Linked DNA regions of Macaca fascicularis. The protein of the gene in region 1 purifies or fractionates together with the protein of each later gene. This does not show direct contact. Links are inferred from orthologs where the notes say so. Each region holds a gene or a part of one and is shown on either strand. Other genes may lie near its edges.

Region 1 (3,500 bases):
GGACAAGATAAAGGGGCTGAAACTAGAAGAGCTCTGGCTCGACGGAAACTCCTTGTGTGACACCTTCCGAGACCAGTCCACCTACATCAGGTCAGTTGTAGCCTGTGTCTCCCCTCCTGGGGACCTTCACCCCCTGGGAGGCTGAGCTAATGCATCCTGACCAGGGCCCGTCTGCGGAGATGTGCAGCCCTGAGCTGGAACCACCTGTCCTTTGGGAGGATCACGTGCTCCCCACTTTGGTCTGTCTATGTCTTCCAGCTTTGTCCTGAGATCCTTTCTCTTCTCTTCTGACCTGACTATCTGTTTGCTGGGTCTGTGGCCTTTCTCTTTCTTCCTGAACACAACCTTTTCTAGAATCTCCCTACCCTGTTGTTCCAGGAAAGGCATCTCTCCTTTCTACTCTGACCAGAGGGTATTTGTACATACCCTATAGATGGAGTGGCCTTATACCAAGAGCCTGATGTCCGTGGGCGGAGGAAGCCCTCCCTGCCTGGGACTTCCTTACTGAGATGGGCCTTCCGTCCTTTGTACTGTGATGGTCCCTCTTGCCCTTGCGCGAAGAGGGACCCTTTTCTCAGGATCCACTTGCCCAGGGTTGTTGCCTGGGCATTCCTGCCCATGCTGAGGTTGAGGCCTCCTAGGGGCTGGTGGCATGCAATCTGTCTATCTCCCTGAAGAAGAAACCTGGGTTCCCCAAGACGTGATCAGAGCTGGGGCCCCGCCAGCAGGCGAGGGAATCCCAAGGCAGGTGCTGGGCGTGGAGGCCACGGGGGCATAGGCTACCAAGGAGACAGAGAACTGAGCCCCTCGGGGGCGCTGCCTCTCCCTCACTCACACACTGCACGTCACCCTGTTTGGCCCCGGTGGATGGCTGGTTAGCCAGAGACGGGTAAGATTCCTCAGGGAAGGAACAACCTAAGACAGGCACAGTCGCAGAGGGGCCATCAGGAGATAACTTGGGGGCAACAGAGGTGGGGCACGGACCCTCACCCCCACAATCCTGCAAGGGCCTGAACCCTCACACCTTCTGAGGGAGGTCTCCTGCCCCCATGGCTGCTTTGCTCCCCACGCCCAGCTCAGATCGGGACCCAGGTAGCAGACAGAGACCTGGCCAACAGCAAGTGCCCACTCACCACAGCAAGGATTTGTTTCTCATTTCTACCTTGGACCACAGGGATGGGGCAGCTGAAAGAAAGGGCTGTGTCAGTTTCTCCCTTTTCTCCCTCATTTTTCTAGATGCTTTTTTGCCTTGTAGTTCTTTTCCCTTTTTCTTTGCTTTCTCTTTCTTTTTCTTCTGTGTTTCCTATACCTCCCCATCTCTGCCTTGCCCCTGCCCCATCTTGCCTTCTTCTCTTTTTCCTCCTTTTCCTCTCCTTTCTTACTCCTTGGCTTCTCCTCTTCCTGAGCCCCACCTGCTCATCTCCCTGCCCCAACATCCTGTGCCATCCCTGTGGTGTGTTTGGGTCTTGGCCAAGGCCAGACCTGGCAGAACTGATGGATACCTGGTGAGGCAGCGGAGCCCCTGGGCTCCCACCCCATTCCCTCCTCCCGGGGCTGCACAGGTGAGTAGGTGGAAGGTAAGGGGGGCAGGGAGGGGAAAGAGGTCCTGGGCTTAAAGCCTAGGTTTGGAGTACTGCTCCTTGACACTCAGGGTCAGGCAGAGAGAAAAGAGACAGCCTTCAAGGCAGTCCATGTCTGGGTGCCCCGGGTCAGGTGGGGAGTGGGGCCATTTTTCCCTGAGCACAGGCTGGGAGGGAGTGGAGGGATGAGCAGGATGGGATGGGCTGTCCCTCGGGTTTGGTATATTTGCTCCTAGAGCAGCCCAGGAGGCACGGTGGCTCTGAAGCATCACTTACTTCTGTCCCGTTCTTGACAGCGCCATTCGCGAACGATTTCCCAAGTTATTACGCCTGGTAAGTCCATAATTTTTTCATTCTAACAAGCACAGTGTCTCCCACTCACAAGGATTCCTGGATAGTTTTCTTTTTCTTTTTATTATTTTTTTTTTTTTGAGGCGGAGTTTCACTCTTATCGCCCAGGTTGGAGTGCAACGGCGTGATCTCAGCTCACCGCAACCTCCGCCTCCCAGGTTCAAGCGATTCTCCTGCCACAGTTTACTGAGCCCGAGTAGCTGGGATTACAGGCATGTGCTACCACGCCTGGCTAATTTTTGTATTTTTAGTAGAGACAGGGTTTCACCATGTTGGCCAGGCTGGCCTCAAACTCCTCACCTCAGGTGATCCATCCACCTTGGCCTCCCAAAGTGCTGGGATTATAGGCGTGAGCCACCTTGCCAGGCCGTTTATGGAGTCTTGCTCTGTTATCCAGAGTGCGGTGCAATCTAGACTCACTGCAACCTCCGCCTCCTGGGTTCAAGCGATTTTCCTGCCTCAGCCTCCCAAGTAGCTGGGATTACATGCATGTGCCACAACGCCCAGCTAATTTCTTTGTGTATTTTTAGTAGAGACGGGGGTTTCACCATGTTGGCCAGGATGGTCTTGAACTCCTGACCTCAACTAATCCATCCACCTTGGCCTCCCAGTGTGCTGGGATTACAGGCATGAGCCACTGTGCCCAGCCTGGATTCCTGGATACTTTTCATGATGCTTTTATACGTGACTTCTGATCCTTCTCTGTTAGTTCTTTAGTCTACTTATGCATCCAGCCTTTTTCTCTCTGGTTTAAACTGTCAACTTTTGTTTTGTTTTTGAGACAGGGTCTCGCTCTGTCATCCAGGCTGGAGTGCAGTGGCACAATCGTAGCTTACTGCAACCTTCGCCTGCCAGGTTCAAGTGATCCTCCCACTTCAGCCTCCCAAATAGCTGGGACTACAGGCACACACCACCACGCCCAGCTGATTTTTGTATTTTTTTTTGGTAGAGATGGGTTTTGCCATGTTGTCCAGGCTGGTCTAAAACTCCTGGGCTCAAGCCATCTGCCTGCCTCGGCCTCCCAAAGTTCTGGGATCACAGGTGTGAGCCACTGTGCTCAGTCTACACTGTCAACTTTTATTTCCTTTCCACAGGATGGCCATGAGCTACCCCCGCCAATTGCCTTTGATGTTGAAGCCCCCACGACGTTACCGCCCTGCAAGGTAGGAAGCATGGACTGAGTAAGAACTTATGTGTGGAGAGAATACTGCTTCCATGTTCCTAATATCTTGTTTGATTTCAGGGAAGCTATTTTGGAACAGAAAACTTGAAGAGTCTGGTCCTGCACTTCCTACAACAGTAAGTATCCCAGGGCCCCCTCTCCCCACCCCGGGGTTGGCAGGGAAAGGTGGGCAGACCCAGGCACACCTCAGCCTCACTCTTTTGGGTTTTTTTTTTGTTTGTTTGTTTTTTGGACAGTGTCTCACTCTGTCACCCAGGCTGGAGTGCAATGATGTGATCTTGGCTCACTGCAACCTCTGCCTCCCAGGGTTCAAGTGATTCTCCTGCCTCAGCCTCCCCAGTAGATGGGACTACAGGCGTGTGCCACCACACCTGGCTAATTTTTGT
Region 2 (3,500 bases), on another chromosome or scaffold:
CTCACCTGGCCATTATGTGGATAATTCTTACATGATAAATGGAATTTGCTTTTTTTTCTCCAAGAATGTGGATATACTGAAAGATCCTGAAACAGTCAAGCAGCTTGGTAGCATTTTGAAGACAAATGTGAGAGCCTGCAAAGCTGTTGGACACCCCTTTGTAATTCAGCTTGGAAGAATTTATTTAGATATGCTTAATGTATACAAGTGCCTCAGTGAAAATATTTCTGCAGCTATCCAAGCTAATGGTAGGTGATTCTGATTTCTTATACGATGCAGTATAAACACTTCTCTTCTACTGCCTCAAGTCAAACATTTGATATTTTTCACAGATTTAAATCAGACCTCCCATTTCCCAGATGACCCTACACATATTTAAAATAGTTATGTGTACCTTTCCCTTTTAAAATTAGTCTTAAAGCTTATTTTCCCAATAAATCTTGTGTAGTTTTGGCTTTAAACTTTTTAATGGTAAAATGGAATTGCATCTAATGTACACCTGAGTACCGCTGTATAATTTTAGTGGTAAAATTAGATTCCATTTGATTCAATTTTGTAGGTGAAATGGTTACAAAGCAACCATTGATTAGAAGTATGCGAACTGTAAAAAGGGAAACTTTAAAGTTAATATCTGGTTGGGTGAGCCGATCGAATGATCCACAAATGGTAAGTGAGAGATGCTTTGCTTTTGGTTTTTAGTGTTGATGCTGTGTTTTATGGAGTGTGCTATACTCTATTATGTGCATTTTGCTAATTTAAAGCATATCAACTTTGTAGTTATTTTATGGCATTTTATTTATTGTAGTCCTTAATGTTAATATACTGTATTCCATCTTCAAAAGAAACTGCTGTTAATCAATAGCGAAGGGTGGTGATATGTAACAAGATAGCTAAGAAAATTGGGTCATTTTATGTTTCCATAGATAGGTCAGGAGGATTTAGTTAATGGAGTACGGGTGCAGTTTTTGCATTCCTCTTGATTTTTGGAACAATTACTAGAGCTACAAAGTTGTCATTACTTTACCTCTTTGGCAAAGTGATTGCTTCCCAGATTAAAGGCTTGAAAGTCTTTTTTACATTCTTTTTCTTAAATGATTTGCAGAAAAGGAAATCATTTTCAGTAATAAAAACCAGCTGCGTATGCCTCAACTTGTAAAATTGTGAATTACTTTTAGGTGTTAACTGTATGGTTTCATTCTTTTTATTCACTTGAGCCTTGGGAGATTCCAAAAAATTCTATTCTGATACTACTACTAGTTGGAATAGTGGGTTTTTTTTGTTTTTCTTTAACAAGTGTGCTAGTTATTTTAATAATTTTGGAATTTCAGTATTGTTTCTTGTTAAGGAAATACTTTTCAGTAAACTTGTTCTGAATATAATTCTCATGGAATACTTAAGTTGGCTAACCTAAATATCGAAAGGTTCTGAACATGTGTATTATGTGATCAGAACTGTATTTAAAATGTGAAAGCAGAATGTAAGATGTATTGAAGGAATTGTGATGCTTGTAGTTTACAAGAAGCTTGGGCACATGTCAGGAGCACAGTGGGAATAATACAAAGGGGTATCATATTTTATAAGTAACATTAATGATAAAGTTTGGGATATTTGTTCACATGAAACATTACATTTATTTTTCTTGTCTTGGCTTGTCACGGTGACTCATGCCTGTAATCCCAGCATTTTGGGAGGCCGAGGTCGGTGGATCCCTTGAGGTCAGGAGGCTGAGGCAGGAGAATCGCTTGAACCCAGGAAGGTGGTGGCAGTGAGCCTAGATCGCACCATTGCACTCCAGTCTGGGCAACAAGTGCGAAACTTCATCTCAAAAAAAAAAAAAAAAAGAACAAGAAGTTACTCATTAAGTATAACTGAGTTTACTTAGAACCATGAAAATCCTACTGGGCATCGTAGCATGCACCTGTAATCCCAACCACTAGGGAGGCTGAGGCAAGAGAATCGCCCCAGCTCTTCAAGTCCAGTTTAGGCAACACGGCAATATTCAGTTTCAAAAAAATAATAGAAATCCATAGTCTTTCTTATTTTCTGAGAGTAATTGATTGATGTTATTTCTGCTTGTGAAAATACAGTTAGCATTCATTAGATTAAAACATTATTCTGAGTTGGGCAGATCATGAGGTCAGGAGATGGAGACCACTCTGGCTAACCTCGTGAAACACCTTGTCTCCACTAAAAATACAAAAAAATTAGCTGGGCATGGTGGCAGGTGCCTGTAGTCCCAGCTACTCGATAGGCTGAGGTAGGAAAATGGCATGAACCTGGGAGGTGGAGCTTGCAGTGAGCTGAGATGGCACCACTGCACTCCAGCCTGGGCGACAGAGCGAGACTCCCTCTTAAAAAAAAAAAAAAAAAAAGACATTATTGAGGGCTCGCTTGCTGCCGTCTTACATATACAGTATACATTGAATCCTGATTGTGCCACACTAACTTGGAGCCACCAATTGAATTTTGAGCCTCACTTTCCTTATTATAAGAGTTTTGTAGCTGGGCATGATGCTATACCTGTAGTCCCAGCTACTCAGGAGACTGAGGCACAAGAATTGCTTAAACCTGGGAGGTGGAGGTTGCAGTGAGCAGAGATTTGCCACTGCACTCTGGTCTGAGTGACAGTGAGACTGTCTCAAAAAAAAAAAAAAAGTTTTGAATGACACTGTTTCCATGAGACTTCCCAACCCATTGTGATTTCCTGCTTTCTTTTGCTAAAAACTGTTTTAACGTAGGAAAACCTAATACAAACACAAGATTTTCCTATTTTCAGTAGATAATCATGCTACATCTTACAGACACGAATAACCTTGTTGTTTAAAATAGTCACCACGTACCTAGATTAAAACATAACTTTTTTTTTCCCTCCTCAACAGGTAGCTGAAAATTTTGTTCCCCCTCTGTTGGATGCAGTTCTCATTGATTATCAGAGAAATGTCCCAGCTGCTAGAGAACCAGAAGTGCTTAGTACTATGGCCATAATTGTCAACAAGTTAGGGGGACATATAACAGCTGAAATACCTCAAATATTTGATGCTGTTTTTGAATGCACATTGAATATGATAAATAAGGTGTGTAATATTTCAGTTATGTACGGGGAAAATTCTAGCGGATAGCCTTAATTCTTGAAGGCTAAAGTATATCTATGGATATAACATAATTTTAATGCCATGGAGCTTAAATATTTATACTTGTATATTAGGGAAATACTTTTTTTGTTTTCAAGAACTTCCCAGGAGTTTGAAACCAACCTGGGCAATATAGTGAGACTTCATCTCTACAAAAAGTTAAAAAATTAACCAGTCATGGTGGCATGTGCCTGTAGTCCCAGCTACTGAAGTGGCTGAGCGACAGTGACACTGAAGTGGGAGGATTACTTGAGCCTGGGAGTTCCACGTGGCAGTTTGCTGAGATCATGCTACTGCACTCTAACATGGGCAACAGAGTCAGACCATTTCTTAAAAAAGAAGAATTTACTACACAGAATCTTGATTGGT
Region 3 (2,906 bases), on another chromosome or scaffold:
TATAGCACCAATTCTCCAAAGAGCTCAAAGACTGCAAAGCAGTAAGCAAACAAATTCTGCAGAGGCCACACTTGACAGGCAAGATCTGGCAACAAAACATTTAGCTTACCTTCTTTTTGGAGATGGAGATCTGGACTTTGATCGGCTGTCAAAACATGAGAAATTCTATTAAAGAAAGAGTACTAACCAATCCCTTTCTTGTAGTCACCAATACCGTAAAACAAACCCCCAAAGGTCCTAAGCTTAAAATGTCAGACTGCACTTAAACTGAAAAACATCCTACCAGTTGTTGCTAACAAAGGCCAATCTTCCAACAACTGTTTTTCAAAAAAATGAATCAATTACTGTATCATGATTAATCTTTTACATTGCATATTAATTTCAGGATGCTTCTCCATGCACCTATCAGTTCTAACAAGGGCCTCTTTAATATAATCCCCAAAGTCACAAACGTCTTTCTCACTACAGTTTTACATTCCCTTTTTCAGGGAAAGTCAGTCAGTAATAAATAGGACATACACAAATAAGGTACTGTGTTCCCACTAACAACTAAGTTTAGAGTTAACACTTAAAATTTCAACAATTAAAAAACACTTTGAACTCTTTGGATATTGGTGCCATATAACTAGAAGAGCATAATCAAATTTTTACCCTACCTGCTTCTTGGTCTTGAAATAGACCTGGATCTTGATCTTGACCTCGACGGGGATCTTAATAAAAAAGTGAAAAACACAATTATATCAATTATCCAAAGGAATTTCCTTAAACAACTACTCAACACTGTATTAGGTAGGTTAGGCGTAGAGAAGCTAAGACTAAGCAAGATACACCACTTGCCTTATTCTAAACACACTTTCAAACAAACTGTTATGAGACATAAGGAACCACCATTTCAATTACTCGTTTCTATCACTCAGCTGGTTACAGTTCCCGTACAGGAATATTCTCAAACACTGTGTAACATCCAAGGGAAACACATGGTTTTCATTTGATAAGACTGGTATGAAGGAAGCAAAACTAACCTCACTTAAGGCACAGATTCCTCAGCTGGGCACTGTGGTGCACAATGGTAGTCCCAGCTACTCAGGAGGCTAAGGCAGGATGAAAATAACCAGACCCCAGCTGGTGTGGTGGTTCACGCCTGTAATCCCAGCACTCTGGGAGGCCAAGGCATGTGGATCACAAGGTCAGGAGATAGAGACCATCCTGGCTAACATGGTGAAACCCCGTCTCTACTAAAAATACAAAAATTAGCTGGGCATGGCGTTGTGCACCTGTAGTCCCAGCTGCTGGGGAGGCTGAGGCAGGAGAATGGCATGAACTCAGGAGGCGGAGCTTGCAGTAAGCCAAGATTGCGCCCCTGCACTCCAGCCTGGGTGACACACAGAGACTCCATCTCAAAAAAAAAAAAAAAGAAAATAACCAGACCCCTGAACTGAGACTAATTCAGGTGATAAGGCCAGACGAGAAGAAAGCCACCACTTAATAAGGCTTTACATTCCTGGATCGTTACGTTTGAGAGCCATCAATTTGTCAGACAAACCAAATCGGACATATCTATCTTTTAAATATATCTAATGAGATAGTCCATAGCTTTCTCAAATAGACCACAAGATTCAGAGTTCCTGCATTTAAAGGTTTTGTGCTACTAAACAGCAATTTAACTCCCAGTAGCATTCTGTACCACTGTTTTATCATTGATACAGATAATATTGTTGGGCCAGGCGCGGTGGCTCAAGCCTGTAATCCCAGCACTTTGGGAGGCTGAGGCGGACAGATCACAAGTCAGGCGATCAAGACCATCCTGGCTAACACGGTGAAACCCCGTCTCTACTAAAAATACAAAAAATTAGCTGGGCGTGGTGGTAGGCGCCTGTAGTCCCAGCTACCAGGGAGGCTGAGGCAGGAAAGTGGTGTGAACTCAGGAGGTGGAGCTTGCAGTGAGCAGAGATTGCACCACTGCACTCCAGCCTGGGCGACAGAGCGAGGCTCTGTCTCACAATATTGGAATATTATTAATTACATATTACAATACTCATTTTACAATTTTTTCCACTCTATCTCCTTTTAAGGCCGCCTACAAAGAGTAAAGCTCTGGTTCTTAAGTTTGTTTTTTCAGGTCTCTGTCCAAAAAAAAAATCCACATTCATTTGTATGTACACACTACTGCCCCAACTTTCCAGTGTCTCCAATCAACACCATCATTCCAAAAATGAGAAATGTTTCTACTTGCTTCTAATCTCTTTTCCTGGTTCTAACAGGCCTTTTTGTCGGGAAAATCAATTACCATCTTTCAGAGCTAGTATCATCTAATCTGAAGCCACAAGTTTATAGCAATATGCCTATCCAGAGTGTTCACTAAAATTGTGTTGCTTTGGACCTTTCTCTACCACCATGGCCTCTCTAACAAGCCTTAAAATCTCTAGTAGCCCTTTTCTTCATCTGTAAAACTAGATTAATATTTATGTTACAAGTTACATATCAATTCCAAACTTTTACATCTCAAATATTCCCTGCAACAATCCATTTGAATTATGTCTTTAAGACACTCTACTGCTGTGAAGATGTGAACAACCCAAACACAAGTAAGAAAAGAAAGTGTTACATACTGGAAATACCTCGATCCTTTTATAGAACCAGACCTAGATCTTCTGAGTGAAGCTGATCTTGATCTACGAAGAGAGATAGATCTTGATCGTCGAGGAGATGCTGACCTTGACCTAAAATAAAGAACTTTAAGTCCATCTCCACATTTTTTTTTTGGCCTGTTAAGACTTCAATTGGGGAACGGTGCAATGGCTTATACCTGTAATCCCAGCACTGGTCTCAAGCCCAGGAGCTTGAGACCAGCCTGGGAAACAGTGCAAGACCATTTCTACAAAAAGAAAAACTAGCTGGGTATGGTG
Region 4 (3,500 bases), on another chromosome or scaffold:
TGCAGTGGGATGAGTTGGGGAATGAGTTTTGAACCCCAGGACCAGAGGGCCTCCTGGGCAGACAGGCCCACCGTGGAGTTTGATTAATGGTTCTCTGCGCCTCGGACCACTAATTCGATTAGATCTCTGGGTCTTGGCCTTGCCAACCTGTGCCTCTTGGGAGCTCAGACGCCGTAGTCTGGGTGTCTAACCAAAGCCTGCAGGTCCTTTGGCATCTTTTTCTTCTGGACAGTGTGTTTAGTGTGGTTTCTGTGCCATGCACCATGAGAATAAGAGGGCCCAGAGGAGTCGACGGGGCAAGAGGCGTGGCCCTGTGCTGGGGAACTCTCCATACCCAAGTTGGACTCCTTCAGGAGCTAAGGCCCTCACCACGTGGCCTCCAAGGAATTGGGGAGAATGGGGGTGACCTAGCAGTCAGCTGCTGCTGCTGAGGAGCTTCCTCAGAGGCTGGTCTTTGGCAGAAGTTTGATGCCTCTACCTTGAGTGTGTACCTGATCCACCATCACCACCGTGGAGTCAGGCAGGTGCTGGCTCTTCTGTTCCTCAAGGACGGCTATGTGCAGTCTCATGCCAGGAGTTAGGCCAACCTACCCGCCATGTGTGGCTTTGCTAAATATTTGCTGGGTGACCTTGGCCGATTCACTCACCTCTCAGAGCCTCAGCTTCCTCATCTGTAAAGTACAGCCAATCCCACCTGCCTCCTCGCAGGCTAGTGTTGAGGTTGAAACGAGAAAATATGCCGAGGGTGCCCAGACCCTAGCAGGTGCTCTGCAAACTTCAGGTGTTCCGTAAATCTCACTTCTCTCTTGATGCACTCGCTCATGATTCTTTTGTGTCGCATTTACCATGGGCTGTGATTCCCATCTGTCAGTCTCCGTTTTTCAGTGCTTTGCCTATTGGTGTAACCAGGGTAGAAGCTACTTCCTGGCACCACACCAGGGACAGGACAAGCTGGGTGTTAGGTTTTTACTGCCAACAGGCAAGCCCCTGCTGTGCCTGGCCAGCTTAGATACAGGCATGTATCAGACAGGTCCTTCTGGACCGTGGACTTGGCAGCTGGCTCCCTTGGACATTGTGGTGCGTGGAAGAGAAGCTGGAAGATTTGGGCTCTGGTCCAGCGTCCACCACTTGTTTATTGACCATAAGAAAGTTTCCGTTCCCCTTACCCTGAGTTTCTTCAGCTGGAAAACAGGAGTCATGAAGTAAGCTGACTAGGAAGTCCCTCCCCTGGACCTGGCTGAAAGTTCGTCCACTCCATGTGGTGTCTCCCTTTCCTCAGTCTCCGAAGCGAAGCTAGACCTCTCAGGCTGGTGTGACACAGCATTAGATGTAAAAACCTTTTGTAAACTGAAGTGCTGGGCACATGGAAGTTGTGCTGTTAGCAGTCCTGTGTCTCCTGACCTGCACCAGTGGGTGGCATGGGATGTTGAAGAGCAGTTCAGTGGCAGTGGCCGCCCCACTGGGAGAAGGGGCTCCTGCCCATGGCCTGGGCCCCTTACCTTTCCCCACAGATCCTGGCTGCAGCTCTGACCGAGTGTCACCGGAAATCCAGTGCCCAAGGCAAGCCTCTGGCCCTGAAGGTCTTCGTGGCTGGCAGAAACCGTCTGGAGAACGATGGCGCCACTGCCTTGGCAGAAGCTTTTAGGGTGAGTGGTTTCTGTCCATCCTGCCCCCGTGACCCTGAGGTGCACTTGGTGTAGTAGGCTGACAGTCCTGGATGCGAATCCCTGGCTGGCACTCAGCCGAGAGACCTGGGGCGTCACGTGCCCCCTCCAAGCCTGTTAGTCCATCTGAAAATGGGCCAGGATTCTTGTCATGCATTTCTGGAAAGGTGTGTGACTGCTCCCTCAGGTAAGCCAGCAGCAGCCCCCTGCGGGGCTTCAGGCCAGGCAGGCCGCTCTGACCAAAGAGTGTCATCTGCCAGGCTCAGAAGTGGTGAAATGAGATGGCGGGAGTACTGACAGTAGCCTGGCCCAGCCCCTGGTGTGGGGCACAGAGAAGGAACATACCAGACTTCCCAAGACAGGGAGACAGGCAGGGGCATCCGCAGGGCTCAGGGGCCAGATGATGAGGTGCTCTCAGGTGACCTTGTCCCCGCTCTTCTTCCACTCTCCTCTCCCCATCCCCCCAGGACATTGCTGAGTCCCCGACTGCGAGTGCCAGCAGAAGGCCACATTTGCCCCTAACAGGACTGAAAACTTTGGGGTCTGTCTCCCTCTTCTCTTTTTTTTTTTTTTTTGAGGCAGTCTCATTCTGTCACCTATGCTGGAGTGCAGTGGCACGATCTTGGCTCACTGCAGTCTCCGCCTCCCAGGTTCAAGCAGTTCTGCCTTAGCCTCCCGAGTAGCTGGAATTACAGGCACTCACCACCACACCCGGCTAATTTTTGTATTTTTGTTAGAGACAGGGTTTTGCCATGTTGGCCAGGTGGTCTCGAACTCCTGACCTCAAGTGATCTGCCCACCTGGGTCTCCCAAAGTGCTGGGATTACAGGCATGAGCCACCACGCCCAGCCCCTCTTCTCTTAAGTGTTTTCTTCAGCAAACAGTATCCTAGGAGCATTGCTCGTACGGGCCGGAATGGCACCCACTGTCCTGCCTGCCCACAGAGCCTGCCTATAGACACCCCTTGCCTGCTTCAGTGCCAAGTGAACACCATAGAGATCTGCCTTGTGTCTCCCGCACCCCTGGCTGCAGGGGAGCCCCCGCTCCCTCCTCGAGCTGGAGGGGGCCTCGCTGCCATCCTTGGACCCCTCCCTGCCCTCAGCCCGCTGTCCTCAGTGCACTAGGAGTAGGTGGTGTGCTGTGGTTGTGTTGAGCCTTCATAGGTGTCCTCTGGTGGGCTTCGAATGGGAGTTCTTAATCCCCTCCAGTCTGTGGATAGAATTCAGGGGTCTGTGAACATGGATGAGGAAAAAATAACATCATTATTTATCCCTAACATAGCTAAAGTATGTAGTGTGACTTTTGATCACGAATGTAGACAATAAACCTCACAGCATTAGAAAGGCCTGTGAATAACCCACATAACAAACAAGCACGTGTAGCCCCTGAACCAAACAAAAAATTTATTGAGACAGGGTCTCACTCTGTGGCCAGGCTGGAGTGCACCAGTAGCAATCTCGGCCCACTGCAGTTTCAGCTTCCCAGGCTCAAGTGATCCTCCCACCTCAGTCTTCTGATTAGCTGGGACTACAGGTGCACACCACCATGTTAATTTTTGTATTTTAGTAGAGATGGGGTTTCACCATGTTAACCAGACTGGTCTCAAACTCCTGACCTCAGGTGATCCACCCACCTTGGCCTCCTAAAGTGCTGGGATTATAGGCATAAGCCACTGTGCCCAGCCTAAAATTTTTTAAAAAATAAATGACAGGTGCAGTTGGCTCATGCCTGTAATCCCAGCACTGTGGGAGGCTGAGACGGGCGGATCATGAGGTCAGGAGATCGACACCATTCTGGCTAACACGGTGAAACCTTGTCTCTACTAAAAATACAAAC
Region 5 (4,082 bases), on another chromosome or scaffold:
TGAGGACTTAATATTATCCATGCTACATGCATACTTTTTGTGGGTGTAAGCTATACTTCTGAACCATAATCAGAAATTACCTATAAATATATGAAATAAAAGGGACGAATCAGGAAATATTCCCGGTAATGACCGACCCCTCCATTAGCACTAATACTACCTTAACCATATTGGTTAACTGATGGAACTAAGAAAAGGAAACATATTTAAGTGAATATATGCTGGGCCCAATGTTAAGTGCGGTATTTTAATTAATTCATACTTACCAACCTGAAAAGAAAATGAGGTTGAGGGAAAATGACAGCTTGCTCCAGGTTAAAAAACTAGGTAAAGGTAAACCTGGGATATGATTCCAGAGCCCATGTTCCCATGAATGCCATACCAATCCTTCCCTGAGCAATTTGCTTTTAAAGGGTAAGTCCACAGTTACCACTTATGCAAGGCAGATGAAACGCTGGCTCCAGACACGACCTGGTATTTAATAACAAGTAGTAGTCTAAAAACAGTAGTAGAGTCTATAACACTCACCCGTCTTCTTTTATCCATTGTCTCATAGTAAATATTGACAAACTCCTCAGCAGCTCTACATGCCTGATCTACATAAGTTTTAAAATCCTACAAGAAAAATTCCGGAAGTATAGATTACCAACCGTTTCAACCCCTCACAAACACAAAACCACTGACAGAAGCTGATGATTTATTTCAACCACCATGTAGTTCTATATATAGTCCACATTCTTTCATATAAATTCAGACATTTTAAAGGCTGGACTCTAAAGTTTGCAATTTTAAAATTTTTCACTAACTTTAAGTGCATGTCTTTAGGACATAATCTTCTCAATGAATCTGAGTCTTTTTCAGTCTCTACATATAAATTTATAATCTTTTCTTGGCAACTAAGTACTTTAGACTTTCAATATTTTACAAACATTCACGGCAATGAAAATGACACCACCTGACCCTTAGAAAAGGAGAGCGAGCGGCGAAAACTGCCACTGAATAAGCTAGGCAAGTGTTTTCTCTTTTCCAAGTGAGATGTTAGGGCCAAACTCCAAAGTTGTTGAACGGAACACACACACACACACACACACACACACACACCCCAAAGTAGTTCAACTACTTGAAAAACTGGCAGCTCCACTTAGGAAACTTTCCCACATTACGTGAACTTTCACTGCTGTTTGCATAAGAACCGTGAAACCGAAGAAAGCAACGCTGTTGGCGTTCGTGCCGGAGAATTAAGGAATACCTTCCTTCTCATTCATTTACGGGGCCCAGTCTATTACAGAATTAAGAACAATGAATCGCCAGTTTGTCAGGTAACTGAAAGTGATTTTTAGAGAGGAAGATAATCGAGAAAAAGAGACTGCAAGCCATAAACAACAAACCCCAAACCCCCGCCTCTCGCTATTTCGCAGCTCAGGGTCCTTTCCGGGACCAGAAAGCGACAGCAAAACAGGCGGGGTTGGGGCCGGCAAGGCGGGCAGCAAAACGTGGGCCCCGCCCCGCAGTACAGAGAGCCGGGCCGTGATTCGTCACCTATCCACGTGAGCAGCAACCAGACCGCCCCGGAGTCCCTCCAATCAGCCACTGGAGTCCGGCGCCCAGCAGACCTGCCACAGCCCAAGCACTCACCACAGACATGGCCATCGGGGAGCCTGCAGCAGCGTGTTCCGGCAGTGGCGGCGTCACTACCTCCTCACGTGTCCGGCCCCCACAGCTGCGGAATGATCAATACTTATGAAGAGAGCGAAACCCGCCAAACGCACAGAATTTTCCACCCTCCCATTCTCTCCCGGAAGTAGCTCGGTCCGTCGTTAAAAGCACACCGATGTTCCAACCTTAAGTTCCACCGCCCTTCAGTTCCTGCAGATCCCTCCCATCCGCCTTATCTACTTGTTTGATACTTACTTAGTTTAAAATTTAAAAACCACTTCGCTTTTGTAAACATGATACTCAAAAGGAAAGTCCCTTAGTTTTCTACCGACAAGCCTGGGGACAAGCAAAAATGAAAGTGTTCAATTACAGGGACTTTTTTTGCCCCAGGAGGCGGAGCCAAAGTCCTCTGGAGACCAATTCGAAATGCGAGACCTCCTATTCCGTAGCCTATAGGATAAATGGGCGGAGCTTGGGGAAAGGCGTGCATGAATAGTGAACAATTTAGCATTCTGGAACATTCTGGAAGGATCACCCTCACTGAATTACTATGTTTTGGCAGTATGCCTAAAATTACTGTTTCATTTTAACCTAGCCATATTCAACAGGAAAAGTTCATCTAGTTTCCCCATTCTGGCATTTTACAATGTCTTGCAGACACCAACAAAAATTAAGTTCACAGTGCCATTCACCACCTTTTAAGGGCTATTTATTCTGCAAAGTATTCTAACAATAACTAAAATGTGAAGCGCTGACTGTATGTAAGGTGCTTTTCTAATCAGTTTTACATATATCCACTTATTATAACAATGCTGAGGTAATTGCTATTATTTTATAATCTTCATTTTACAGCTAAGATGGAGTGAATCTGCCTACGGTAACAGACTAGTTGAGATTCAAACTCAAGCAATATAACTATCACGGCAATCTGGCTTTGCTCCCCAACACCCCTTAAAAACCTCTCATCCCAAAGCCGCCAACGACTTCTGATTTAAATGGCAAATTAATTAGATGTTGTAGTTTTACCTTGAGTGGCTGGTGTGTGGTCCCTCATAATAGTGACTTCTTCTTTGGTGTCTTTCTCTGTCTCCCTGAGACCAGTGGCTTCTGCACTTTCTCATACTTTTAACCTTTCTCTTTATCTGGCTCTTTTCCTTTTAAGGTAGTGCTAACGGAAGCTGCTTCTCGGCCACTCTGCTTCCGTTTTCCGCTAACCTAACCTCTGACTGGCGTCACTTCCGGTGCATCCCCCCTTTTAAAGCCTCCCTTCTTCAGGGTGATGTAAATTGCTACCCGTATGCTAATGAATCTTAACAACCTATCCCAAGCCCGCACCGCTTATCTGAGGTCCAGTTACACATATGAATTTTGCTAAACATGAACACGAGTGCACTATAGGCTTCTTAAACTTGTACGTGCAAAATTTAAACTCATTATTTCCTCTGCACTTCCAAACTTTTGTATTCTCCCAGTCGCCTATCTTGAATTCTCGGAATCTTTATTTTTTTGGTTCCCTCTCCTCCTTATCATGATTCATTCAATAAATATTTATCAAGTAGTCACTGTGTGCCAAGGATTGTGCAAGGCTCTGTATATATAGTGGAGAATAAAATGGACATGTTTCGTATTCTTATGAGGCTCAAAGTGTAATGAGAGTGCTAGACAATAAACATAACATCAATGAGTTACAAAGAAATACTGAGTAACTTGCTTAGTTCTGACCATTCCCTATAGCAATCCTTCTACCCTTCTCCCTCTTCCCTTTTTTTTTTATTTCTTTTTTTTTTTTTTTTTTTTTTGAGACGGAGTCTGGCTCTGTGGCTCAGGCTGGAGTGCCGTGGCATGAAGTTGGCTCACTGCCAACCTCCGCCGCCTGGGTTCGAGCAATTCTCTTGCCTCAGCCTCCCGAGTAGAGTAGCTGGGACTACAGGCACGAGCCACCAGGTCCGGCTAACTCTTTTCCTTTTTCTCCCTCTCTCTTTTTGGCTCTCTCCCTCCCTTTCTCCCCCACACTTCTCTCACTTTTCCCGTCTCGTTCTCTCCTCCCTCTCTCCCCCCGAACTTCTCTCCCTTTCCCCTTCTCATTCCCCCTCTCATTCTCTCCTCCCACACAAACTTTGATAACTCTATTGCCTATTTTCTTCCAAACTCATAATCTTTAAATACCTACCTTGGTCTGATCTGAATTTATTTTCCCAGGCTATTCTCCCAAATTCACCAACACTGGCAAAGTTAACTACTACTGGTTGCCAAGAATGACTGATGTTTACTGCTTTATTGGTGATTGTTTTTCTTGATTGAGAGATTGTGTTTTATATGATTTCATTCAATCCTCAAGACCCCCAGAAAGGCAGACATTATTATCTAGATTTTTTAAAATTTAAACTTAAGTTTAAAGAAGTTAAGTAAATTGGTTAAGATGATAC
Region 6 (3,500 bases), on another chromosome or scaffold:
CAACTGGAGTGCAGTGACGTGATCTTGGCTCAGCCTTCTGAGTAGCTGGGATTACAGGTGTGTGCCACCATGCCTGGCTAATTTTTGTATTTTTAGTAGAGATGGGGTTTCACCATGTTGGCCAGGCTAGTCTTAAACTCCTGACCTCAAGTGATCTGCCCCCCTCTGCCTCCCAAAATGCTGGTATTACAGGCGTGAGCCACCATGCCTGGCCGAAAATTGAGGTTTTTTTGGGTGGGGATAGAGTCTCACTCTGTCGCCCAGGCTGGAGTGCAGTGGTGCAATCTTGGCTCACTGCAACCTCCGCCTCCTGGGTTCAGGAAATTCTCCTGCCTCAGCCTCCCGAGTAGCTGGGACTACATGTGTGTGCCACCATGACTGGCTAATTTTTGTATTTTTAGTAGAGATGGGGTTTCACCATGTTGGCCAGGCTGGTCTCAAACTCCTGACCTCGTGATCCACCTGCCTCAGCCTCCCAAAGTGTGGGGATTAAAGGCGTGAGCCGCCGTGCCTGACCAAATTAAGACTTTTTAATGTGAGTCAGTCAGTGGATATTTATGAAGTACTTCTCATATACTTAATAGAAGAATCCAGATAAAGTATAAGATAACGTTCGTATTTGTCAAGAACTTTTGAGAAGTCTTTATGGACAATATGAATATCTGAATTAGGCTTTAATGGTGGATTTAATTTACATATATGGAGGAAGAAAAAGAGGGTGTTTCATGTGCTTTTGTTTTTTGTGGTACTTTTTGCCTCTGACCATGTCTATTCCAGCTCCTTTGCTGTCATGACTTCCCCGCTTTTTCTTGTTTTCGGCATTTGTTTTGGAACTTGGCTTTTTAAAATCTATTAGTATCAAAAATCATGTTTATATAAATTATTCCCTAATTTATATCTCTGGCCCTCTGATTCTTCTCTTGAGTTGCGGAGCCACAATTCCCCAGCACCTGTGGGTCCCGTGAGTACCTCACATATTTTAAGTATAATGTGGGGTTTTCATCTTTCCAATCGCTTAGGCTGTAAATTTTCAAGCTGTTTCTCCATCTCCCTTATCTACACATTCAAGCTGTTGTCAATCCCTGTTCATTCTGCATCAGAAATGTTTATTGTAGTAGGGTATATAGAAAAATGCAATTTGATTAACATAGTTTCTTGCCTTCTGATAGAATATAGAACAATATTTTCCAGTGTTAAAAAGGAAGGCAAACCTTCTGAGACAAAATGAAGGGCAGAGGAAACCAGTGGCAGTTCTCAAGAGACCTAACCAGCTAAACAGAAAGTAAGTACTCAAATATGATGATGTGTTATTTTGCATTAAAAAACACTTCTTGCATTAAGTGGTGTGAAGAATAGATTTGCAGTGATTTTTTTAGTTATCTGGTCATTTTCAAGACAGATGTTTGGGATGTCTATCTGAGCATCCACATGGATGTATCCAGTAATAGCTCGTTTATTAGATGAATTCTTACTGATGAATTTAACCAATATCAGCTTTTTAAAAAGCATCACTCTGCTTCTTTACCCCTTTGACACATGGAATAAAATTGCAAAAGCTGATCACTTTAGTAGAACTCTCTCTCTTTTTTTTTTTTTCCTGTTTTTTGAGACAGGGTCTTCTCGCTCTATTGCTGAGGCTGGAGTGCAGTGGCGCCATCACTGCTCACTGGAGCCTCAACCCCCACCCGGACTCAAGTGATCCTCCCACATCAGCCTCCTGAGTAGATGGGACCACAGATACATGCCACCATGCCCTGCTAGTTGTTTTTTTTTTTTTTTTTTTGGTAGAGACAGGGTCTCACCCTGTTGCCTAGGCTGGTCTCAATTCCGGGCCTCAAGTGATCCTCCCACCTCAGCCTCCTAAAGTGCTGGGATTACAGGCATGTGCCACTGTGCCCAGCCCTGGTAGAACTCTTAACATCTCAGTGGGAATTATTCAAAATTGGGAATTCTGAAAGCTCAATTTGTTACTCAGTCTGGATGGCCCTTACTAGAACACTGAATCACAATGTATGTTATTTGTGGAAAAATCAAACTAGAAAGGAGGAATTCTTGATGAACACTTGTTAAACTGAAATTATTTTTATACTAAGTTGAATAATAAAAACCAAAAATTATGGCCTGTGAGCTGGGCACAGTGGCATGTGCCTGTGGTCCCAGCTACTTAAGAGGCTGAGGCAGAAGGATCACATGAGCCCAGGATTCAGGGCTAACCTGGGCAACATAGTGAGACCCCCATCTCTGAAAAAAAAAGAAAAATTATGATCTGTTGTTACGGCATTCTGTTCTCTGTAAGGACAAAGTAGATGAAGTTAATGAGGTGTGAAGTTTCCTTATTCGGTTTCAAGTACTATTTATTTATCTCTCGTGGAAGATTATTCAGCAAACAAAACCTGGAATGGAGTTTTTTAAAAATGCAGTGGCTGGGCACAGTGGCTCATGCTTGTATTCGCAGCACTTTGGGAGGCCATGGCGTGTAGATCACCTGAGGCCAGGAGTTCGAGACCAGCCTGGCCAACATGGTGAAATCCCATCTCTACTAAAAATATAAAAATTAGCTGGACATGGTGGTGCATGCCTGTAGTTCCAGCTATTTGGGAGGCTGAGGCAGGAGAATCGCTTAAACCTGGGAGGCAGAGATTGCGGTGAGTCAAGATCGTGCCACTGCACTCCAGCCTGGGTAACAGTGAAACTGTCTAAAACAAAATAAAAAATAAAAAACAAAACAAAAAATGTAATGGCTGGAATTGCAGTTTTAACCATCATCTTTTGGGAATCACTTGATAATAAGGTACCTTCTCAAATAAGAACCCATCATTTACATGAGACTTACATGTTAATTGGGTTAGCTAGGGAAATTTTGAACTTGAATCTCTGAAAGATTGGAGGTAAGACTAAGGAATCTAATGAACACTTGTTTGTATAGTGTTTCATATTCATCAATAGATCAGTTGAAGACATGGAATATTAGAGGATTGAATATTGCATAAATATGAAATTTTAATTTTTCATACTTCACCAACTTCCTGTAGAAAACAAGAAATTAGGTGCAGCAAACCACCATGGCGCATATACACCTACGTAAGAAACCTGCGTGTTCAGCATGTGTCTCGGAACTTAAAGTAAAATTAAAAAAAGAAAAAAGAATTGGTGAAAGTCAAACATAATTAACAGCATTGTTCTGTGCATGAAAGAACAAGAAACAGAAGAGTATAAGTTTTTCTGTGGTTTATTTATTTTTTGAGATGAAGTCTGTCGCTGGGCTGGAGTGCAGTGGCGTGATCTCGGCCCACTGCACCTCTGCTTCCCTGATTCAAGCAATTCTCATGCTTCAGCCTCCTGAGTAGCTGGGACTACAGGCGCGTGCCACCAAGGCTGGCTAGCTTTTGTGTTTTTAGTAGAGACAGGATTTCACCATGTTGCCCAGGCTGGTCTTGAACTCCTGACCTCAAGTGATCCACTCACCTCAACCTCCCAAAATGCTGGGATTACAGGTGTGA
Region 7 (3,500 bases), on another chromosome or scaffold:
CCTGATACAGCTATATATATAACAATTGATTGAAGACTCAAAATTACAGTGGTAGTTGAATGTGATAGCTTTGAGGACAGAGTGATGGGGTGCATTTAGACCCTTGCTCTTCTGCTTATTTTGACCACAGGCAAGTTTCTTAACCTCTCAATGCATCAGTTGCCTCATATGTAAAATGAGGATAATAATAATACCTTAATTCATAGGGTTTTTGAGGATATTAAAATGAGATAATAATGTAAAGTGCTTAGAATAGTGCCCAGCTGGCACATTAATAAATGCTCAATAAATGTTACCATCATCATCATCATCATCATTATTAACATCATTTGATAAATTGTTTAGGAATGAAGATGGTATTTATTTTATGACTTTAGTTGTAGATTTTAAGATGCTGTAATTAATTTTCATTATATGCCAAGTATATATGCAAGTATCTTTGTAGCAATGTGGTTTTCTCTTAACCTATTTATGCCTAGTGTTCCATTATTGGAACACTAAGCTTTTGGGAGTTATTTATATCTTACTGCTCAGGGTCATTGCCAAGGTCTGATTTTTCACACAGAAAATTTGCAGCCTCTGGCATAAACGGGTTAATGATGTGTACTACATCCCCTAATGATATCTTCTTCACTTAATATTCATGTTTGAAGTTTGTGAGAATTGGTTTGCATTTAGTTATCTGTAGTTTTGTAGACAATCTACAAAATGTTTTAACTTTCTGTCTTCTAGGGCCCAGTCTATGGCATGAATAGGCTTCCACCCCAACAGCATATTTATGCCTATCCGCAACAGATGCACACACCACCAGTGCAAAGCTCATCTGCTTGTATGTTCTCTCAGGAGATGTATGGTCCTCCTGCATTGCGTTTTGAGTCTCCTGCAACAGGAATTCTATCGCCCAGGGGTGATGATTACTTTAATTACAATGTTCAGCAGACAAGCACAAATCCACCTTTGCCAGAACCAGGATATTTCACAAAACCTCCAATTGCAGCTCATGCTTCAAGATCTGCAGAATCTAAGACTATAGAATTTGGGAAAACTAATTTTGTTCAGCCCATGCCAGGTGAAGGAATAAGGCCATCTTTGCCAACACCAGCACACACAACACAGCCACCTCCTTTTAAATTTAACTCAAATTTCAAATCAAATGATGGTGACTTCACATTTTCCTCACCACAGGTTGTGACACAGCCCCCTCCTGCAGCTTACAGTAACAGTGAAAGCCTTTTAGGTCTCCTGACTTCAGATAAACCCTTGCAAGGAGATGGCTATAGTGGACCCAAACCAGTTCCTGGTGGTCAGACCATTGGGCCTCGAAATACATTCAATTTTGGAAGCAAAAATGTGTCTGGAATTTCGTTTACAGAAAACATGGGGTCAGCTCAGCAAAAGAATTCTGGTTTTCGGCGAAGTGATGATATGTTTACTTTCCGTGGTCCAGGGAAATCAGTATTTGGAACACCCACTTTAGAGACAGCAAACAAGAACCATGAGACAGATGGAGGAAGTGCCCATGGGGATGATGATGATGATGGTCCTCACTTTGAGCCTGTAGTACCTCTTCCTGATAAGATTGAAGTAAAAACTGGTGAGGAAGATGAAGAAGAATTCTTTTGCAACCGTGCGAAATTGTTCCGTTTTGATGTAGAATCCAAAGAATGGAAGGAACGTGGGATTGGCAATGTAAAAATACTGAGGCATAAAACATCTGGTAAAATTCGCCTTCTAATGAGACGAGAGCAAGTGTTGAAAATCTGTGCAAATCATTATATCAGTCCAGATATGAAATTGACACCAAATGCTGGATCAGACAGATCTTTTGTCTGGCATGCCCTTGATTATGCAGATGAGTTGCCAAAACCAGAACAACTTGCTATTAGGTTCAAAACTCCTGAGGAAGCAGCACTTTTTAAGTGCAAGTTTGAAGAAGCCCAGAGCATTTTAAAAGCCCCAGGAACAAATGTAGCCACAGCATCAAATCAGGCTATCAGAATTGTAAAAGAACCCACAAGTCATGATAACAAGGATATTTGCAAATCTGATGCTGGAAACATGAATTTTGAATTTCAAGTTGGAAAGAAAGAAGGGTCTTGGTGGCATTGTAACAGCTGCTCATTAAAGAATGCTGCAACTGCTAAGAAATGTGTATCATGCCAAAATCTAAACCCAAGCAATAAAGAACTCGTTGGCCCACCATTATCTGAAACTGTTTTTACTCCTAAAACTGGCCCAGAGAATATTCAAGATCGATTTGCATTGATGACTCCAAAGAAAGAAGGTCACTGGGATTGTAGTATTTGTTTAGTAAGAAATGAACCTACTGTATCTAGGTGCATTGCGTGTCAGAACACAAAATCTGCTAACAAAAGTGGATCTTCATTTGTTCATCAGGCTTCATTTACATTTGGCCAGGGAGATCTTCCTAAACCTGTTAACAGTGACTTCAGATCTGTTTTTTCTACAAAGGAAGGACAGTGGGAGTGCAGTGTATGTTTGGTACAAAATGAGGGGAGCTCTACAAAATGTGCTGCTTGTCTGAATCCGAGAAAACAGAGTCTACCTGCTACTGCTATTCCAACACCTGCCTCTTTTAAGTTTGGTACTTCAGAGACAAGTAAAACTCCAAAAAGTGGATTTGAGGACATGTTTGCTAAGAAGGAAGGACAGTGGGATTGCAGTTCATGCTTAGTGCGAAATGAAGCAAATGCTACAAGATGTGTTGCTTGTCAGAATCCAGATAAACCAAGTCCATCTACTTCTGTTTCAGCTCCTGCCTCTTTTAAGTTTGGTACTTCAGAGACAAGCAAGGCTCCAAAGAGCGGATTTGAGGGAATGTTCACTAAGAAGGAAGGACAATGGGATTGTAGTGTGTGCTTAGTAAGAAATGAAGCCAGTGCCACCAAATGTATTGCGTGTCAGAATCCAGGTAAACAAAATCAAACTGCTTCTGCAATTTCAACACCTGCCTCTTCAGAGACAAGCAAGGCTCCAAAGAGCGGATTTGAGGGAATGTTCACTAAGAAGGAAGGACAATGGGATTGCAGTGTGTGCTTACTAAGAAATGAAGCCAGTGCTACCAAATGTATTGCTTGTCAGAATCCAGGTAAACAAAATCAGACTACTACTGCAATTTCAACACCTGCCTCTTCAGAGACAAGCAAGGCTCCAAAGAGTGGATTTGAGGGAATGTTCACTAAGAAGGAAGGACAGTGGGATTGCAGTATGTGCTTAGTAAGAAATGAAGCCAGTACTACCAAATGTATTGCTTGTCAGTATCCAAGTAAACAAAATCAAACAACTGCAATTTCAACACCTACCTCTTCGGAGGTAAGCAAGGCTCCAAAGAGTGGATTTGAAGGAATGTTCATCAAGAAAGGACAGTGGGATTGTAGTGTTTGCTGTGTACAAAATGAGAGTTCTTCCTTAACATGTGTGGCTTGTGATGCCTCTAAACCAACTCATAAACCTATTGCAGAAGCTCCTTCAGCTTTCAC

The links.
Region 2: the proteins of NXF1 (region 1) and XPO1 purify together in Homo sapiens (affinity purification with mass spectrometry; 3 studies listed by BioGRID and IntAct, with this or other methods). This does not show direct contact. The link is inferred for Macaca fascicularis from reciprocal best matches to the Homo sapiens genes NXF1 and XPO1.
Region 3: the proteins of NXF1 (region 1) and SRSF7 purify together in Homo sapiens (affinity purification with western blotting; 3 studies listed by BioGRID and IntAct, with this or other methods). This does not show direct contact. The link is inferred for Macaca fascicularis from reciprocal best matches to the Homo sapiens genes NXF1 and SRSF7.
Region 4: the proteins of NXF1 (region 1) and RANGAP1 purify together in Homo sapiens (co-immunoprecipitation; 3 studies listed by BioGRID and IntAct, with this or other methods). This does not show direct contact. The link is inferred for Macaca fascicularis from reciprocal best matches to the Homo sapiens genes NXF1 and RANGAP1.
Region 5: the proteins of NXF1 (region 1) and NXT2 purify together in Homo sapiens (co-immunoprecipitation; 5 studies listed by BioGRID and IntAct, counting the BioPlex papers as one, with this or other methods). This does not show direct contact. The link is inferred for Macaca fascicularis from reciprocal best matches to the Homo sapiens genes NXF1 and NXT2.
Region 6: the proteins of NXF1 (region 1) and FYTTD1 purify together in Homo sapiens (affinity purification with western blotting; 3 studies listed by BioGRID and IntAct, with this or other methods). This does not show direct contact. The link is inferred for Macaca fascicularis from reciprocal best matches to the Homo sapiens genes NXF1 and FYTTD1.
Region 7: the proteins of NXF1 (region 1) and E3 SUMO-protein ligase RanBP2 purify together in Homo sapiens (co-immunoprecipitation; 5 studies listed by BioGRID and IntAct, with this or other methods). This does not show direct contact. The link is inferred for Macaca fascicularis from reciprocal best matches to the Homo sapiens genes NXF1 and RANBP2.

What each region holds. Positions count from the first base shown.
Region 1 is NC_088388.1:11,252,347-11,255,846, forward strand, and holds part of NXF1 (nuclear RNA export factor 1), read left to right. Parts: coding exon 1-90; intron 91-1,876; coding exon 1,877-1,913; intron 1,914-3,025; coding exon 3,026-3,094; intron 3,095-3,174; coding exon 3,175-3,230; intron 3,231-3,500.
Region 2 is NC_088387.1:60,435,405-60,438,904, forward strand, and holds part of XPO1 (exportin-1), read left to right. Parts: intron 1-64; coding exon 65-248; intron 249-559; coding exon 560-666; intron 667-1,198; exon of another isoform or gene 1,199-1,821; intron 1,822-2,879; coding exon 2,880-3,074; intron 3,075-3,500. UniProt on the Homo sapiens protein: Mediates the nuclear export of cellular proteins (cargos) bearing a leucine-rich nuclear export signal (NES) and of RNAs.
Region 3 is NC_088387.1:83,422,969-83,425,874, reverse strand, and holds part of SRSF7 (serine/arginine-rich splicing factor 7), read right to left. Parts: intron 2,721-2,906; coding exon 2,610-2,720; exon of another isoform or gene 1,023-2,609; intron 711-1,022; coding exon 657-710; intron 146-656; coding exon 110-145; intron 1-109.
Region 4 is NC_088384.1:10,350,323-10,353,822, forward strand, and holds part of RANGAP1 (ran GTPase-activating protein 1), read left to right. Parts: intron 1-1,511; coding exon 1,512-1,646; intron 1,647-3,500. UniProt on the Homo sapiens protein: GTPase activator for RAN. Converts cytoplasmic GTP-bound RAN to GDP-bound RAN, which is essential for RAN-mediated nuclear import and export. Mediates dissociation of cargo from nuclear export complexes containing XPO1, RAN and RANBP2 after nuclear export.
Region 5 is NC_088395.1:116,105,251-116,109,332, reverse strand, and holds the start of NXT2 (NTF2-related export protein 2), read right to left. Parts: upstream 2,801-4,082; 5' UTR 2,778-2,800; coding exon 2,683-2,777; intron 2,021-2,682; exon of another isoform or gene 1,912-2,020; intron 1,721-1,911; coding exon 1,636-1,720; exon of another isoform or gene 1,540-1,635; intron 1,458-1,539; exon of another isoform or gene 1,262-1,457; coding exon of another isoform or gene 1,250-1,261; intron 616-1,249; coding exon 529-615; intron 1-528. UniProt on the Homo sapiens protein: Regulator of protein export for NES-containing proteins. Also plays a role in mRNA nuclear export.
Region 6 is NC_088376.1:1,073,596-1,077,095, reverse strand, and holds part of FYTTD1 (UAP56-interacting factor), read left to right. Parts: intron 1-1,169; coding exon 1,170-1,282; intron 1,283-3,500. UniProt on the Homo sapiens protein: Required for mRNA export from the nucleus to the cytoplasm. Acts as an adapter that uses the DDX39B/UAP56-NFX1 pathway to ensure efficient mRNA export and delivering to the nuclear pore.
Region 7 is NC_088387.1:16,258,093-16,261,592, forward strand, and holds part of E3 SUMO-protein ligase RanBP2, read left to right. Parts: intron 1-732; coding exon 733-3,500. UniProt on the Homo sapiens protein: E3 SUMO-protein ligase which facilitates SUMO1 and SUMO2 conjugation by UBE2I. Involved in transport factor (Ran-GTP, karyopherin)-mediated protein import via the F-G repeat-containing domain which acts as a docking site for substrates.